2 linked regions of the Astyanax mexicanus genome follow. The protein of the gene in region 2 interacts with the protein of the main gene of each other region in a pairwise test. Links are inferred from orthologs where the notes say so. Each region holds a gene or a part of one and is shown on either strand. Other genes may lie near its edges. The genes, in order: pop5 and cep44.

Region 1 (7,869 bases), on a different chromosome or scaffold from region 2:
CATCAGACCTGATGCTGAATTATATATAAAATTTATTTTGTAATGCAATAAACTCAAATAATCCTTCTCTTTTGAACAGAAAGTTGAATGGCAACTATGGTAGCTGGGTCTTTTCTTCAGTTCATTTTCCATCATCATCATCATTGTCGTCATCATAGTCATCATTGTCGTCGTCATCATCGTCTTGTCTGAGTTGGTTTAGAGAACAACTCAAAACTGCTTTTCTCACCTGCTGTTTTTCAGCTGCATCAAAGGACAGATAGATATAAAAAAACTTTTAATTTTTCTTTTTTATTAGTACATAGAGTATATATCTGTATTTGTGCTGTAACTCGGATGTTGGAGAAAATTAACGTTAAAAAAAATTACATATTAATTTAATTATAAAATTGGCCTATAAAACTGGAACAACCAGATCCACTGACAGAATAACTGAGCTTTTAAACCATATAAAAATATAGAAACATGTAGGTCACTATGAAACAGTTTGTATATTTTTTTCCTGTATTTAGTTTTTATTGTTTAATTGTTTTTCATTACACTTTATTTTAGTTTAGTTTTTTAACAGTATTTTGATAAAGAAAATAAATAGCAAATGGCAGCTTCATATAGACAAACTGCTGCAACTACATTTAGCAATAGCAAAATAATAATAATAATAATAATTAAAAAAAAGAAAGTTGGGGCACTCATTTCATAGCAATGAATAGAACATTGCAATTTGCAACTTAAATTGTCCGATTGCAGCAAATCTCTTTTTTACTTGTGTACTTTTTAACATAAAAAGTGGTGTCAATTTACCACAGAATGCCCACAACATTATTCTGTTCCTCGTTTAATAAACAAAGACATTACAAACAAGCAGAAGTGCCTAATAACTAAAACTCAGTGGTTTTAGTAGTTACAGGTCATACTGATAGTTATACTTTATTGTGCAACATTTCACTGAAATACTAATCAAGCAAATTGGAGTAGTTTTAAGGTCTATAAATACAGACTGTCGTCCATCTATTTTTGTGCATACTTTATTACCCTCCCTTTCACCCTAATCTTAAATGGTTAGGACCCTGCAGTATTATTTGGGTGGTAAGTCATTCTCAGTACTGGAGTGACACTGACATGGTGGTGGCGTATCTTGTGTCACTGCTAGACTGAGAATTGTCATCCAGCAGTGCCATGTGGGCAGTGGACAGTGTGTGAACACAGTCTTTAAAAACTCTAGCAACACTGCTGCGGCTGACCACAACACACACACAAACACGCTACCACCATGCAACTACAATCACTGCAGTGCTGAGAATGACCAAACACCCAAATAGTAGTCTTATAAATGATTTGTCAAAGCAATCTGAATAATCCTTAATATAATAATTGAAGAGATAACTTTACCTTCTGTTTTGCAATGTGGTAGCATTCGAAATAGCTGCTGTCTGCTGTATCTAATGAGAAATTTCTGGCATGTTCTGATGGTACCTGTGGAATTGGAGAGCAAATAAGAATGGTTTGATTAAAATCAATACAAAAATCTGATTGCAATCAAACCATTAACATATGATACAAAGGGTTCGTTGTCTGATGCCCAGGAATAACCCTATTTGTTTCCATGAGGAACCTTGGTTCTTCAATAGCATCTATTTTTAAGAGTGTACCAGCATTTTCAATCATGACATTTTGTTATGTTTTCTTTATTGCTTTTTGTGTTTAAGCTTTAGTAGTATATTAATTTACAATTATACTTTTAACAAAGTTTTTTTGTTAAAATTAGTCATTTAGATATAATTTAGATCAAATATATTTTAAGATGACATACTAAATCAACAGGTCTGCTATTACTGGTGGGTCTTTTGGCACTTACAATGACAAACAAAAGTAACTGAAGGTATCTATACTGTGAGTTTTGTCAAACTTGTGACGAATAAACAAACCATTTGTATAGTTTGGTGCAAAGTGAAACCAACTGGAAACAGGTGACTACTTACCTCCAACATGAATGCAATTAAAAAAGCACGGCACCCTCTGGCCTTGCTTCCAGATACTTGTAATAAAGGGAAGGGCAGACCAGAGAAGCTGATAGTGGGCCTTCCGGAAACGTAGCATGACCACCCCAGTGTAGGCATTTACGTACCTCACTGAAATGAGACAACAGCAGAATCCATACATGTTGTTAAATATGCTTTTAAATTCTGAACACAAAAAAGGCACCCCTAAATACAGGTCATTTATAACAGTAGCTCAGTATTGCTTAAAGGTGTGCTTTTACACAAAACAATTTCTTATGACACAAAGGTGCAAATGCACAAACACACACCCTACATCCAATGTCCTACCTTACATTGTGTAATTTTTTAAATTGTGGATCATTGTTTGTATGTTTACAACCAACATGTGCAATATGCATAATGAGTAATATTTTATAATCTATTTATTGTTATTACTATTATGAATTTTATTATTTTTATTTTATATATATTGCTTGTATATTCATGCTACTTCCTTTGCTTGGTCCTCTGTGCTGCTGTAACATTGTACATTTCCGTCGCGGGATTAATAAAGGATTTTATCTTAGACACATATGTAAAATTCTGTAACGCTCTCTTAAACTTTTTAACTAGACATGTTAGAGATAGTACACATATTACATATTACAATATTTAACTTATAGTGTCAATATTTTAATATGCGTTAAAATGCACCTAAAGTGCCAGATTTTTTAAAACTTTAAAAGCCATTTAAATACAAACTCGTGCCAAGTACAGGTATTTAATCAAATAATACACTCTTCGTAATGAGCTGAGTAGGTGTTCATAATTATAAAACTTATTAAACGCAATAAAATAGTGAAGAAAGATGAAGAGGAACTGGAGAAGTATGGTGATGCAGTACTGACCTGCAGAACCTATGTTAAACAACGCTAACCCATACTGGCCATGAGCTGTGGTCACTGCTGTTTTTACTGCCTGGAAAATATCCTTCTCCTCCAGCAGCCGCAGCATGCTCCTCTCGGACATGCACACCTCACATAACAGATATCTGCAAACACACACCAGGCAATTTACAGTCATTTTAAAGCCTAAAAACATCCTGAAATAACTAACATGTTTTCATAAAAACGTTTTTTTTACCTCGCCTTAAGTCGCACCATCTTCCTGCTCTCTGTGGAACCACGTGGACCAACGCTTTACCGCTTTCACGTGTGGGCTTTTGCACCAATCACAATTCGATGTTGCACAAAGTAGGCGGTGCTTACGCGGTCCACATTACACCGTTCAGACACGTTTATCGTTTAAGGTTCAACGCTCAGCTTGATTTTTACTCATTTCTAGGTCTCTAAAAGTATAATATTTAGCTAAAGTTCTTGGTTCATATTTTATATAAAATAAAAGTCCTTATTTGACGCTGTTGTTTATTTATATGGGGTGTCATTTTCAGGAGATTCCGAGAGATGGCGCCATAAGAGCAAAAATAAAATAAAATGGAACTTTTTGGACCAGACTAAATAATTATTGAAATGAATTTTAATGTAATTTGTTCGTTAGATGAAAAATGTCCTGTCCAAGAATATGCTACTAAACTGAAAATGTACTGTACTGTGTATAATTATAAATATATACATACATATAAAACGGTTTGGTATAAAACACAGGAACCAGATATATGAACCTCTAAAGGCTTCCTAACACTGGTTTACTATAGTTTTTAGGAAGTTTTTTTGCACAGGTTCATTTGTGGTACTGAACCTACAGTAAAAAAATAATAATATGTGATTAATATGTACTACTTATTTTATTAATTCGAAATTATTTAAATGTCTTGTTAATGTGTTATTAATTTCCCCATGTATTTGTAATTAGTGCACATTTTGACTGAAATGTACACCCATAATGAGCAAACATTAGCACAGAATCTAAAAATGCATATTGGCTGTGTCTTGTACAGATCCTGCAGAAACCTCAGATTCATTTTTATGTGGTCGGATCTTGATGTGTAAAAAACTGTTTTCTTTTTGCAAATATGATATTATCAGTTTACATTTATGAAGTGTCACAAAATCTAGATTTAATCAATCCAATTTTTAAAACGGTTAGTAATTCTTTGAACCTTCTCATGTTTTGCCAGAGTTTTTCATTAATTTACCCGTGTTTAAGCAAAGGATATATACACTGCCTGACCAAGATAAAGTTGCCACCTGGATTTATCTAAACAAATGATCTGGGGTTGTTGCAGTTGGTCAGGTCTAGGTTCAGCAACAGTATGTGCTGAAAGAATGAGGTCAGCTGACTACCTGAATATACTGTATAACCAGGTTATTCCATCAATGGATTTTTTCTTCCCTGATGGAATGGCCATATTTCAAGATGACAATTCCAGGATTCATCAGGCTGGAATTGTAAAAGGGTGGTTCAGGGAGCATGAGATCATCATTTTCACTCATGGATTGGCCACCACAGAGTCCCGACCTTAACCCCATTGAGAATCTTTGGGATGTGCTGGAGAAGGCTTTGCACAGTGACCAGACTCTACTATCAATGCTGCAAGAAAAAAAAAAATGCAACACTGGATTGAAATAAATCTTGTGACATTGCACAAGCTTATCGAAACAATGCTACAGTGAATGCTTGCTGTAATCAAAACTAAAGGTGGTCCAATGAAATATTAGAGTGTGTGACCTTTTTTGGTGGCGACATTTTTTTTTTTGGCCAGGCATTTTTTCATGGTAGATCCTTTCTGTATATTATTCTGAGATTTTTAGCAGTTTGCAGTTCGCTTTTCTCAGTGTTAGGAGCTACTCAGCCCATCATCTGTTTAGTGGATGCTTTCAGATCTGAAATGAAAGTGGAGCTGGAGCGTCTTTCACAAACTCGAATACTTGAACTGCCATGTTATCTGAGGGGGTTATTTGGTGGTCTTGTAGTTGTTAGTGGTACTTGTACTCAGTGGATTTTCTGACTGGAAAGTAAACACATGATGCATGCTCTCGGAATTAGCATCATACCTAATAGTGTATGGTGGGCGTGTCTTGTAGGCTAAGGTCTTAAGTGGTCCCTCAGAAGACAGTATTGAGGGGGAGGCAAGGTATCGTGCAGTGGGCGTGTCCTGTGGAAGAAACATCAAATGGGCGTGGGTTGTTGGTCCCGCAGGGTGCAGATCGCGCACTGTACACACGCGCACACTCACAAGTGCGCGCACATAGGCGCACTTCTGTCATGGCAGCGTGAGAGTGTGAGCGTGAGAGTCGCCGGACTGCAGACTGCAGCTCACACACGCACAAAATCACTCATCTGGGGGCAGAATGTGGATATACAGGAATATCATGAGGTGCGTGTGCGCGCTCGCGCTCATCGAGCATGCCATCGCTATTAGTAAGGTAAGAAGATGCAGCAGCACATTAACTGCTGTTTTCTCACTGTGTGTGTGTGTGTGTGTTTTGTGATATGCTTCTCTAAAATATGTTAAAATGCAATCCTCAGCATTGCATTTAAATACTGCAACTGTGCACGTGCATCATCAAGTTTATTTAATCCACTGAAATCTTGCTTTTGGGCTTTAATACCATACGTATAAGACCACACCTACTTACCTAATCAGTAAGTACTGATTAATTAGCAGCTTCTAATTTAGTACCTACTAATTATTGAGTAAATACCAATAATTCCATTAAGTATTAATTATGCAGCATTTACTTTTTTAATACTTTCAATAATTCAATAATTTAGTAATAATAAGTAATAATTATACAGTACTTTTATTCAGTACATACAAGTTGATAATTTATTAGTAATTATTCACTAACAATTAGGTAATTATTGAGTAGCAGTTATGCAATAATAATACCTTCTTTTTTGATACCTACTAAGTATCCAATAAGTAGTAATTCTTAGCAATGATGTAACATGTAATAATTATGCAGTACATTTTATTCAGTAGCTGCCAGTTATTCAGTTGTAAGTAATTACTTAGCAAAGAAAAAATAATTTATTTAATAAACACTCATTATATACTAATTGTTGAATAGTAGTTATATAAAATGATGTAAGTTCAGTACCTTCTTATTAAGTACCTATTCATTATTTGTAATGTAGTTGTTTTTCAGTAAGTAAGAATTGTTGAGAAAGTACTCATTAGTCAGTCTCTACTATTTATCAAGTAATAGATACAGAATAAGGAGTAAATATTTAGTACTTTCTTAATTGGCACCTACTACTTATTCAGTAAGTATTTATTTTTCAGTAGCTAAAATTAATTATTTACCAAGAACTAATTAGTCAGTTTTTGCTAATTATTGAGTAACTACTAATTAGTAAGTGAATAGTACCTATTCAGCAACTGCCAGGTATCCCATAAGTATTCATTAATTATTATCTACTAAATATTGAATATTTACTAATAATTAGCTACATGGAAATTGTACATATTTATTATTCAATACCTAGTATTTTTTTAGAATCTGTTATGAAACTTATATGCAGTTTGTTTAAAGCACGTGTCAACAAACAGGCCTTTAGGCTTGAAAGAGTTAATTTGTAAATATGAGAAAATGGCACTCCAACCAGTGTTGTGCTCAACCGGGGCATCAAGTGTAGATTGTGTGTTGTTCGCTCAGAGAGTGAGTTATGGCTGCAATGGTGTGAGTGTGTAAGTGTGTGTTTTATTTTTCTTTTATTTTCTTTTTTGGAAAGAACACTGTGGGAGTGTGTGTGAACTGTGAAGAATTTGAGATTTGGGATTTTGAAACAGTCTCACACGGGACTGGGAAATGTTAAACTGTCTGTCGTTGTTTATCATTACTGAATTCCGAAAGGGTCGATTAGGATTTTCATGCTGTTGATATATAGTGGAGGCACTAAATCAATGCTTTTTTCGTTCTCGTTGACAAAGTACACCTGTTTTAATGAGCCCCCGCTGAGGGGCATAACCCGTCAGACCGTAAGTTTAACAGTCAGTGATTAATTTTTAGACTCATTACTCAGTAACCTGCCTGAAACAAATTTTTAAGCTATAGTACGGACCCTTAGGCTTACATGCTGACATCTCCACACAAATTTAATTCCAGACCTGCTTGGAGTTTTGGAGATGTTCTTACTCTGCTGCCCAGCCGTCACAGTTTGGTTATTATCAATTTTTTTTTAGTCTGCTTTGGTTGGAGTGACTGTCTCTATTGTCAAGGGAAGTTTTCAAATTACATTTAGGAGCACTGCTGTAAGAATTTGATTGCATTCAGCCACAAGAGCGCCAGCATGTTGGATGATCACCACCACACCTCATCTCCCCATCAACTCCCCAACCTTTTCAAGAGGTATTGGATGGAGCTTTATCATTCCATAGAGCACAGTTCTCCTGGTCCACATGTCTGGCTTTATGCATAGTGCCAACAGGTTCATATTTATCTGTTCAAGGGAGAATTGTATTGTGTTTACAATATTTCTTGATAGGGACTAGACAAGCTGTTTGTGTGTGAATTTGCACATATGCACAACTTAGAGTAGCTAAATGCATCTACTAGAAGGGGTGTCCAATACTGAGAGATGGAGAGTATATAATGTAACACATTAAACTGATTAAATCTTTCAAAAATAAATTGTAAAATGTAACTAATAGATAATAGATACAGTAGCCTTGTGAGAAAAAAATGACACCCCTACATGTATTAGTCCTTAAAATGTGTAATATTACATTAGCTGCAAATGATTCCAACATGTTTAGAGAGGATTGTTTTATTTAAACCTCAGGCATTAGTTTGGTTTGCTCTTGATTGTTCTCAAAGTGAGTAGATCACCATTGCCAGATCCAAAGAGCTCTCTTCTGAGAAACTTCAGAAAGAATGTAGAAATCAGCATTTCACTGTGTAAGGGGTTAATTAAGCAGTTAATT
Region 2 (7,154 bases):
TTTCGTAGGTAGACAAATCACATGTCTGCGTCTAACTGCTATCAGAGGCACACTGCTGCTGCTGTAGCTCAGCCAATCAGCTCTCCCTCCTGCACCGTCTCTAAACCCATACATCACCCACCCCTCCCCCTTTTTAAATTTGAGCTGAGTTTAGTTCCCCTTTAATAGGGGTGTCCACAAACATTTGGCTGTATAGTGAAAGTTAAAGGTTTTTTGCATGTAGTCCATTAAGTCGATTATCCTGCAGACGAACGCAGCAGCAGATCAGATGTACTTCAGTAATTTACAGTAACAGTAAATCTGCTCTGTGTAATTACAGTGGGAATACGGGAATATGAGTCAGCCCTGCGTCCAGTCCGAGCTTCTGTTCAGCTCCAAACCGCCGCTGCCATAGTGTTTGTTGTAAATCTGAGCTGGATTTCAGGCATTAGTGCCGGTTGGATGGAGTTTCTGGGGAATCACAATTCGAGACGTCTATGTTGGAAATTCAAGTATTCCATCATTTCATTTCCATCCTGCAAATCAAGCAGCCATGTGGACGGCAGCAGAATGCAGGAATCACATAATCTATAATACAATTCAGCTCGTTTTCCAATCAGTTTAATTTGATCCAGTCTAGTGTTATGCCAAATTCAGCACCCCTGCCAGGAAAAGCACCCCCTATTTCTAAATAATAATAAAGCAATTATCTCTGCATTTTTTGTCAAAAAAAAAAAAAAAAAAAAAAACGCATATGCGCTGCTGAGAGGGGTGCTTTTCACGGTGGGGCTGCAGATTTAGGCACTACTATGGTGCTAAATTTAGCACTCCCGCCAAATAAAGCACCCTCTCTCAGGGAGAGGCTGCAGGTGGCATGTATTTATTTTATTTATTTTTTTTATTTTTTTTTTACAAGTCATCGTAGCTTACAACAGTATCTTGGGTGTTTCCATTTTCCAAATAAAGTTAAAGCTAAGAAGACATGAGTGCGCACTCCTGAGAGGGGGTGCTTTTCCTGGCGGGGGTGCTGAATTCGGCACAACACTAGACTGGCTCCTATTGGACTGATTGGAAAACGAGCTGAGTTGTGTTAGATTGGTTTCATTCCTGCATTCTGCTGCTGTCCACATGGCTACTGAATTCAGCACAACACCGGGCAGGGCTGCAGGATTAATCTCATTATATCATCATTACAGTCTGAGTTTCTGTGATGAACACAGTCTTACAGGCTGGACGACAGAACGGATAATATTACTCAACAAGTGCAGCATCAGAATGATGCAATCACACTGTTGGGAACAGAACATTAGAAGCAGAACATGTGCTATAAACTCAATTACAAAACACACACAGACTGATCAGTTAAAAACTCACTGCTTTCTTTCATTCTGCTGCATTTTAGAGCATTGCTGTGAGAATCTCTTGTGGAGATTTCCATCTCCACAACTCCGCCCTTTCTTAAATATTAGATGAAGCTCCATCATTTCAGAAAACAAAGCTCTACCACTGTCCCACAGCTCAAAACTGAGGGCTTTATACCCCCTATTCTATTGCAAAAACGTCTCTACAGGGAGTACCAGTACACTTAATTCGGATAGTGCAAACAAATCCTGTTAAATTGGATGACATGCATAAAAAAAAAAAAGTATATATTTTTTTTTTTGTAAAATGTCTTGTAATTTTTCTATGTGATGAAAAAGGATACATATTGTGTATTGTACAAATGCCTTTACTTGTCATGATGTAGTATTCATAATATAACTTTTGGCCATATCACCCATCTCTGTACACATTTTTGTATTGTTTGTGTATTTATTGTATAATTGTTTTAGTTTGCAGTTTATATGCATGCACTAAATATTCTGCAATATTTTTTGCTGCATTATATTATTTTATGCTATATTATTTATTTTGCCACATTATGAATATACTGTTATACTATTATACTATATTCCTGAAATGAATGAATTAGTTTAGTTTTCCTATATCGCCAAGTATATCGTTATCGCAAAAATACCCTGAAATATCGTGATATTATTTTAGAGCCATATCGTCCACCCCTAGTACACACAAACAAAAAAATTGGACCCACCTTAAATTCAGTACTTTTTCACTAATTTCATGTTCTATATTGTAGATTAATATTAAGTAATCTAAACTATGAAGAAAACCATATGTAATTATTAAATAAAACAAAACAAATAAGTGTTAAACAAACCAGAATATGTTTATTTATATATATATATATATATATATATATATATATATATATATATATATATATATATATATATATATTGTACCTTTTGCTAAAATGTCAGTGCACATTTTGGCTAAATTTACTTAGTCAGCTTCATGAGGTAGAGTCACCTAGAATTCAGGTTTTCAGTTAACAGCTGTGCTGAACTCATCAAGAGTTAATTACTTGAATTTCTTGTCTCTTAATAAAGTGTTTGAGAGCATCAGTTGTAAAGTAGTGAAACGGTAGAGTTACAGGTATACAGTGAATAGCTCTGTTTAAGTAATGCTCTAATCCATATTATGGCAAAATGGCAAAAGAAAATAAATGGTGGAACTGGCACTCATTAGGACTGCCCCAGGAAAGAAAGAGCAAGAGAGTTCAGAAAAAGTGGTAATTTGGTTTGTTTAACACTTTTAAAGATTACTTATGTTTTATCATAGTCTGAATGACTTTAGTATTCATTTACAATGTAGGAAAAAACATTAAAACATATTAAAACAGGCATAATAAATTACCTGTTATAATCCACTTCTCTGGGGTATTTGAGATATCTGAGGGAGGTCTGCAGCTTCTTCAGGCTTCCCTTCAGATCACCTGTAGCCATTTTTCAGTCTACCTGCAGTTTAACAGTGAAATAAAGCGATTAACTAATGAAAAACGTTATTAAACACAAATATACAGCTTTTTTATATTAATATTAGAGCATTTCCGCTCCTTACCTTTGCAAAACAAGGCGTTGCAGCTTCAGTGTATGTATACAATCCACTTTTTGCGGTTGTTTGAGCCGTTTTAAAGAGTTTTAACGAGTTTTGAAGTGTTTTAACGGGTTTAAACTCGATAAATAGACGTTTATTTTGTTTGTATTTTGTTTCTAGGCGCGCTCACAGCGGATTTAAAACTGTTTAGCTATCATTTCACAGCCGCACATTCATCCTCCTAGCTGAAAAAAGTGGACCGGATTTTAGAAACGGATTTTAGAGTTCTTAATCACAAATATACTATAGATATATGCATATAAATCATACGATTATTTCAATATGATATCAAAAAAGTATCTTTTTATTTATCTGCCTCTCTGTATATCGAGCTATCTAGTTAACTAGTTACAGTTATAAAAATCCATGCCAGGATTTGGTTCAATCCGCCTGGGCGGCTCTTCTGAAGCTGGGCTTCAGCAGAGCCGTCCAGGCGGATGAAACGAAATCCTGGCATGGATTTTTACATCCTGGATCTGAATTACATTTTTTTTTTTATAAATTAGTTTAGACATAGTTTCTTCTCATTCTTAAATACTTTTCAATATATATCACTTAATTTTAAGACGACAAGAGAGATATTATTATAACGAAAATCAAAGAAAGGACAAACAAACAAAAAAATATAATTATTTATTCATTTATATATTACTTCTTCGCAAAATGCATAGGGTGCAGAAATATAGCTTGGAAAATAAATAAATAAAAAATATAATAATAAATAATAAATTCAGAATGGGCGTGTTTTCACCAGGAGTCCTTCATCTTATATACTTTTTAGCCGATCAAACAAAGTCAGATAGAAATATCTATCTATCAGAATATCAATATCCAAGATTCGTTTATTCAGCAAAAAATAACAAAAAATAACATTTTCTCACTGTGCTTTTTTTTTTTTGCATTGCACTACTAATGTAGCCATGTCTATAGTTAGATATACTGTCAAACTTTATTTATGAGCAACCCTGAAAAGATAAGAAAAAATATATTCAAAAAAACAAAGTATTATGTGTTCTGTCAAATTTTATGTGTAGTTTATTAACGTTTTAAATAAATGTATTTAATCCCTACACTTTTTTAAGAGAAAATGTGATATAAGTCAGTTACAAAATGCATGTGGCTGAAATTTTACCAAAATACAGGACAGATACTCGTCATATGAAGTGACCAGTTGATAGTTACAGACTCTTAAAGAAATCTTCTAATCTTCCAGCTAATTCACTTTTCTATTTTTATTTTTTATATATATATATATATAATTTATTGGCCACTTTGTGAGATTTGCTTCTCAGTTACTTCTTTTGAATTGTAATATATTTTTAAATATTTGTATATATGTTTTACATTATTTATGATGTATTTGATTGTAAATGCATTTAACATTTTAATTAAAAATGAAAATAATAATAAATATAAATAATATAAATTATTATCGAAAGTGCTGTTCTTTAGCACGCCCTGCCAAAACGTGCTGATCCGCGTGCGTCACTTCCACCAACAACAAGAAACGTCAAACGTGACGACGACACTCGTTTTTACACTGCATTATATTTGTCATTTTATTATTTTATTTTTAACAAATACTTTATATTACTGATGGAAAAAAACGACACATGGCTGTTTACCAGCACTTTAAAGATAAAAAAAATAATAAAATAAATAAAAATAAGTAAGGAGAAAGAGAAAGTGGGCGGGGTTTATGATGGGAGGGGCGGGGCTGAGCACTGAGAGACTCTGAGCGGTGGAGGAGATTATAAACCTGACCGCGGATTCAGCCTGCTCGGGTTTTGAGCCGTTTTTGGAGCTTCTGGGGAAGAAATGCGCGCTTTATCTGAGCTTGGGGGCTGAAGGACATTTCCACGCATCGGCTGCTGTGAACTGTTACGAATTTCGTCGCGGCGGCGGTGAAAATAAAGCCATAAAAACACAGGTGGGTGGGTTCAGCTACTGGAGCTATGACAATTTTAAATGCCAGCTAAATCAGCCAATAGCAGAGCTCGCTGGTTTGATTGATGTGCGCTGTAGCCAATCGTCGGGGAGTAAGGGCAGGACTTGTTCGGCAATCTAACGTGATGAGGGATGGCGATTAGTCAGTACTTTGAAACATAAACAGAACTAAAGTGTGAATGTTTATATGCTAAATTTTGGGTTTAAACGCGAGTTTAAAGTTAAAATTAAGTGTTTTAACGTGAAATTGAATTAAAAACATGTAGTTTAAAAGCTGTCAGTGAACTTACGTAATGATGAGCAGCCAGGCTGGTAGGCAAATTTAGGGAAAACACATTATAAAGCCTGAATAAGTTTAATTAACTTACATTTAGTCTAATAATTTGAGAAAAAATGTTGCCTTAGCGTATTTTGAGTCATTTTTACTAAAAACATAAGTTAATTAAGCTTAATGATTTAAGTTATAGTGTGTAAATTTAAAGTTGAATCAATTGTTGTTAATTTTATAATTGAACCAATATTATTATAATTAAAGAAGTATTGTGTGTAAAATAATTGATTTTAAGTCATTTTGTAGCTTTTCTCTTGTTTTTGTTTTAAACATAACAGAACTTTATATGACAGGACTAAAAGTTAATTATAGAACAATAATAATACATAATATATAAGAATATGATTTAATTCATTGTATTCAAGGCATCTCAAAATAGTAGATATTTAAAAAATAAGAAATCAAATAAAGGCCATAATTACAAAAGTACAAAAAATAACTAATATGACTAAGATATCAGGACAAACACTGAAAAAGTGGAAGTCACTGTAAAAATAATTTATTTCCAATCATTTTCGAACAAATCTTTTCATCATTCATCATAAATGTGGACAACCCTCATAATTATTCTCATATTATGATTATTATGATTATTGTTACTTTTTATTATTATTAGTTTTTATTGTATTTATTTATTTTTATTCTGTTTTTTTGTCATATCTTCAAGAAGTTATAATATGAATAGAAATATTGTAATATTATTTCATGACCATATCGCTCACCCCTAGAGTCAGAAACTATGGGAAACAACCAGTATATAAATACAAAGTGCCAGAAGCCAATAGAAACCGACTAGTTCATTTAAATCATAGATCCTATTCATTTATTTTTTACATGTGACCAAAATGTTTTGAATTGTTTGGAAATTAAATGAAATTAAGTTTTATAAAAAAGATGTAATTTTGAATTGTGAAATTTAGGGTACTGCTGCTAGAAGTGAGTAATGGAGTGCTGTTGGTGTTTTCTGGGTCTCTATAGATGTACACAGACAGGTAAAAGTAGAGGTACAGGTAAGCAGCATGTGCCTAAACTCACCTGAGTGACTGAGTGGAAAATGCTGGAGCTGAGTCAGTATTTACACTCAACACCAAACACTGAACTGTGGAAGAGTGTGTGTGTGATTGTTCACAAAGCCTCAATCAGTTGTTTTCTGTGTGAAGTGTCTAACAGCACAGATAGTAAATTATATAATATTTATTTATACAATATGTCAGAATAGAATTTAGTCATAAACACTACCTAAAGGTACCTACAAATATAAAATGCTGCACAGAACCAGTCACAGACCTGATATTACATAATAGATTTTTGTAAATATCAATAAGTAAAATAAAAAAGGCCCAGTTCAAGACAATAATATATCCTGGGACTTTTCTTTTAACCATAACAGAACTTTAAATGATAGTGCTTATATTATAGAAAAAGTATTACATATAATATATAAAATATAACTTACTTTCTTATGCTCAAGGCACCTTCAAAATCTCATATATAACAAGTATATCATATTTTTTTTGGACAAATTTACTGATGATCAGTGATGTTTTGGAGAGACATGTCATCTGCTGGTGTTGATCCACTGTGTTTTATTATCAAGTCTAAAGTCAGTGCAGTTTTGTTTTCCCACAAAATCTTACAGCACTTCGTGCTTCCCTCTGCTACTGACAACCAAAGAGCACTTACTCTCTTAATACCTCTAACACACTAACTACTTCTAACCTCATTTCCTTCTTCCTCTCCTTCACTCCTCTGTCCTATTATTCCCCTTTGTCCTCCTTTTATCCCTATCCAAAGATGTTTTTCCTTTAAACTTATTTTACATTGTACTTGACTATTGTAAGTCGCTTTGGACAAAAGCGTCTGCCAAATGTAATGTAATGTAATGTAATGTAATGTAACC

Evidence for each region.
Region 1: the proteins of cep44 (region 2) and pop5 interact in binary tests that used the Homo sapiens proteins (3 or more experiments, as listed by UniProt). The two-hybrid records come from large-scale screens. The link is inferred for Astyanax mexicanus from reciprocal best matches to the Homo sapiens genes CEP44 and POP5.

What each region holds. Positions count from the first base shown.
Region 1 is NC_064419.1:30,521,851-30,529,719, forward strand, and holds pop5 (ribonuclease P/MRP protein subunit POP5), read right to left. Parts: upstream 3,231-7,869; 5' UTR 3,143-3,230; coding exon 3,123-3,142; intron 3,031-3,122; coding exon 2,888-3,030; intron 2,130-2,887; coding exon 1,980-2,129; intron 1,474-1,979; coding exon 1,390-1,473; intron 244-1,389; coding exon 122-243; 3' UTR 15-121; downstream 1-14. Other genes in the region: olfml2a (olfactomedin-like protein 2A), read left to right, coding at 5,291-5,365. UniProt on the Homo sapiens protein: Component of ribonuclease P, a protein complex that generates mature tRNA molecules by cleaving their 5'-ends. Also a component of the MRP ribonuclease complex, which cleaves pre-rRNA sequences.
Region 2 is NC_064414.1:52,245,402-52,252,555, reverse strand, and holds the start of cep44 (centrosomal protein of 44 kDa), read right to left. Parts: upstream 3,166-7,154; 5' UTR 2,941-3,165; intron 2,838-2,940; 5' UTR 2,826-2,837; coding exon 2,737-2,825; intron 1-2,736. UniProt on the Homo sapiens protein: Centriole-enriched microtubule-binding protein involved in centriole biogenesis. In collaboration with CEP295 and POC1B, is required for the centriole-to-centrosome conversion by ensuring the formation of bona fide centriole wall.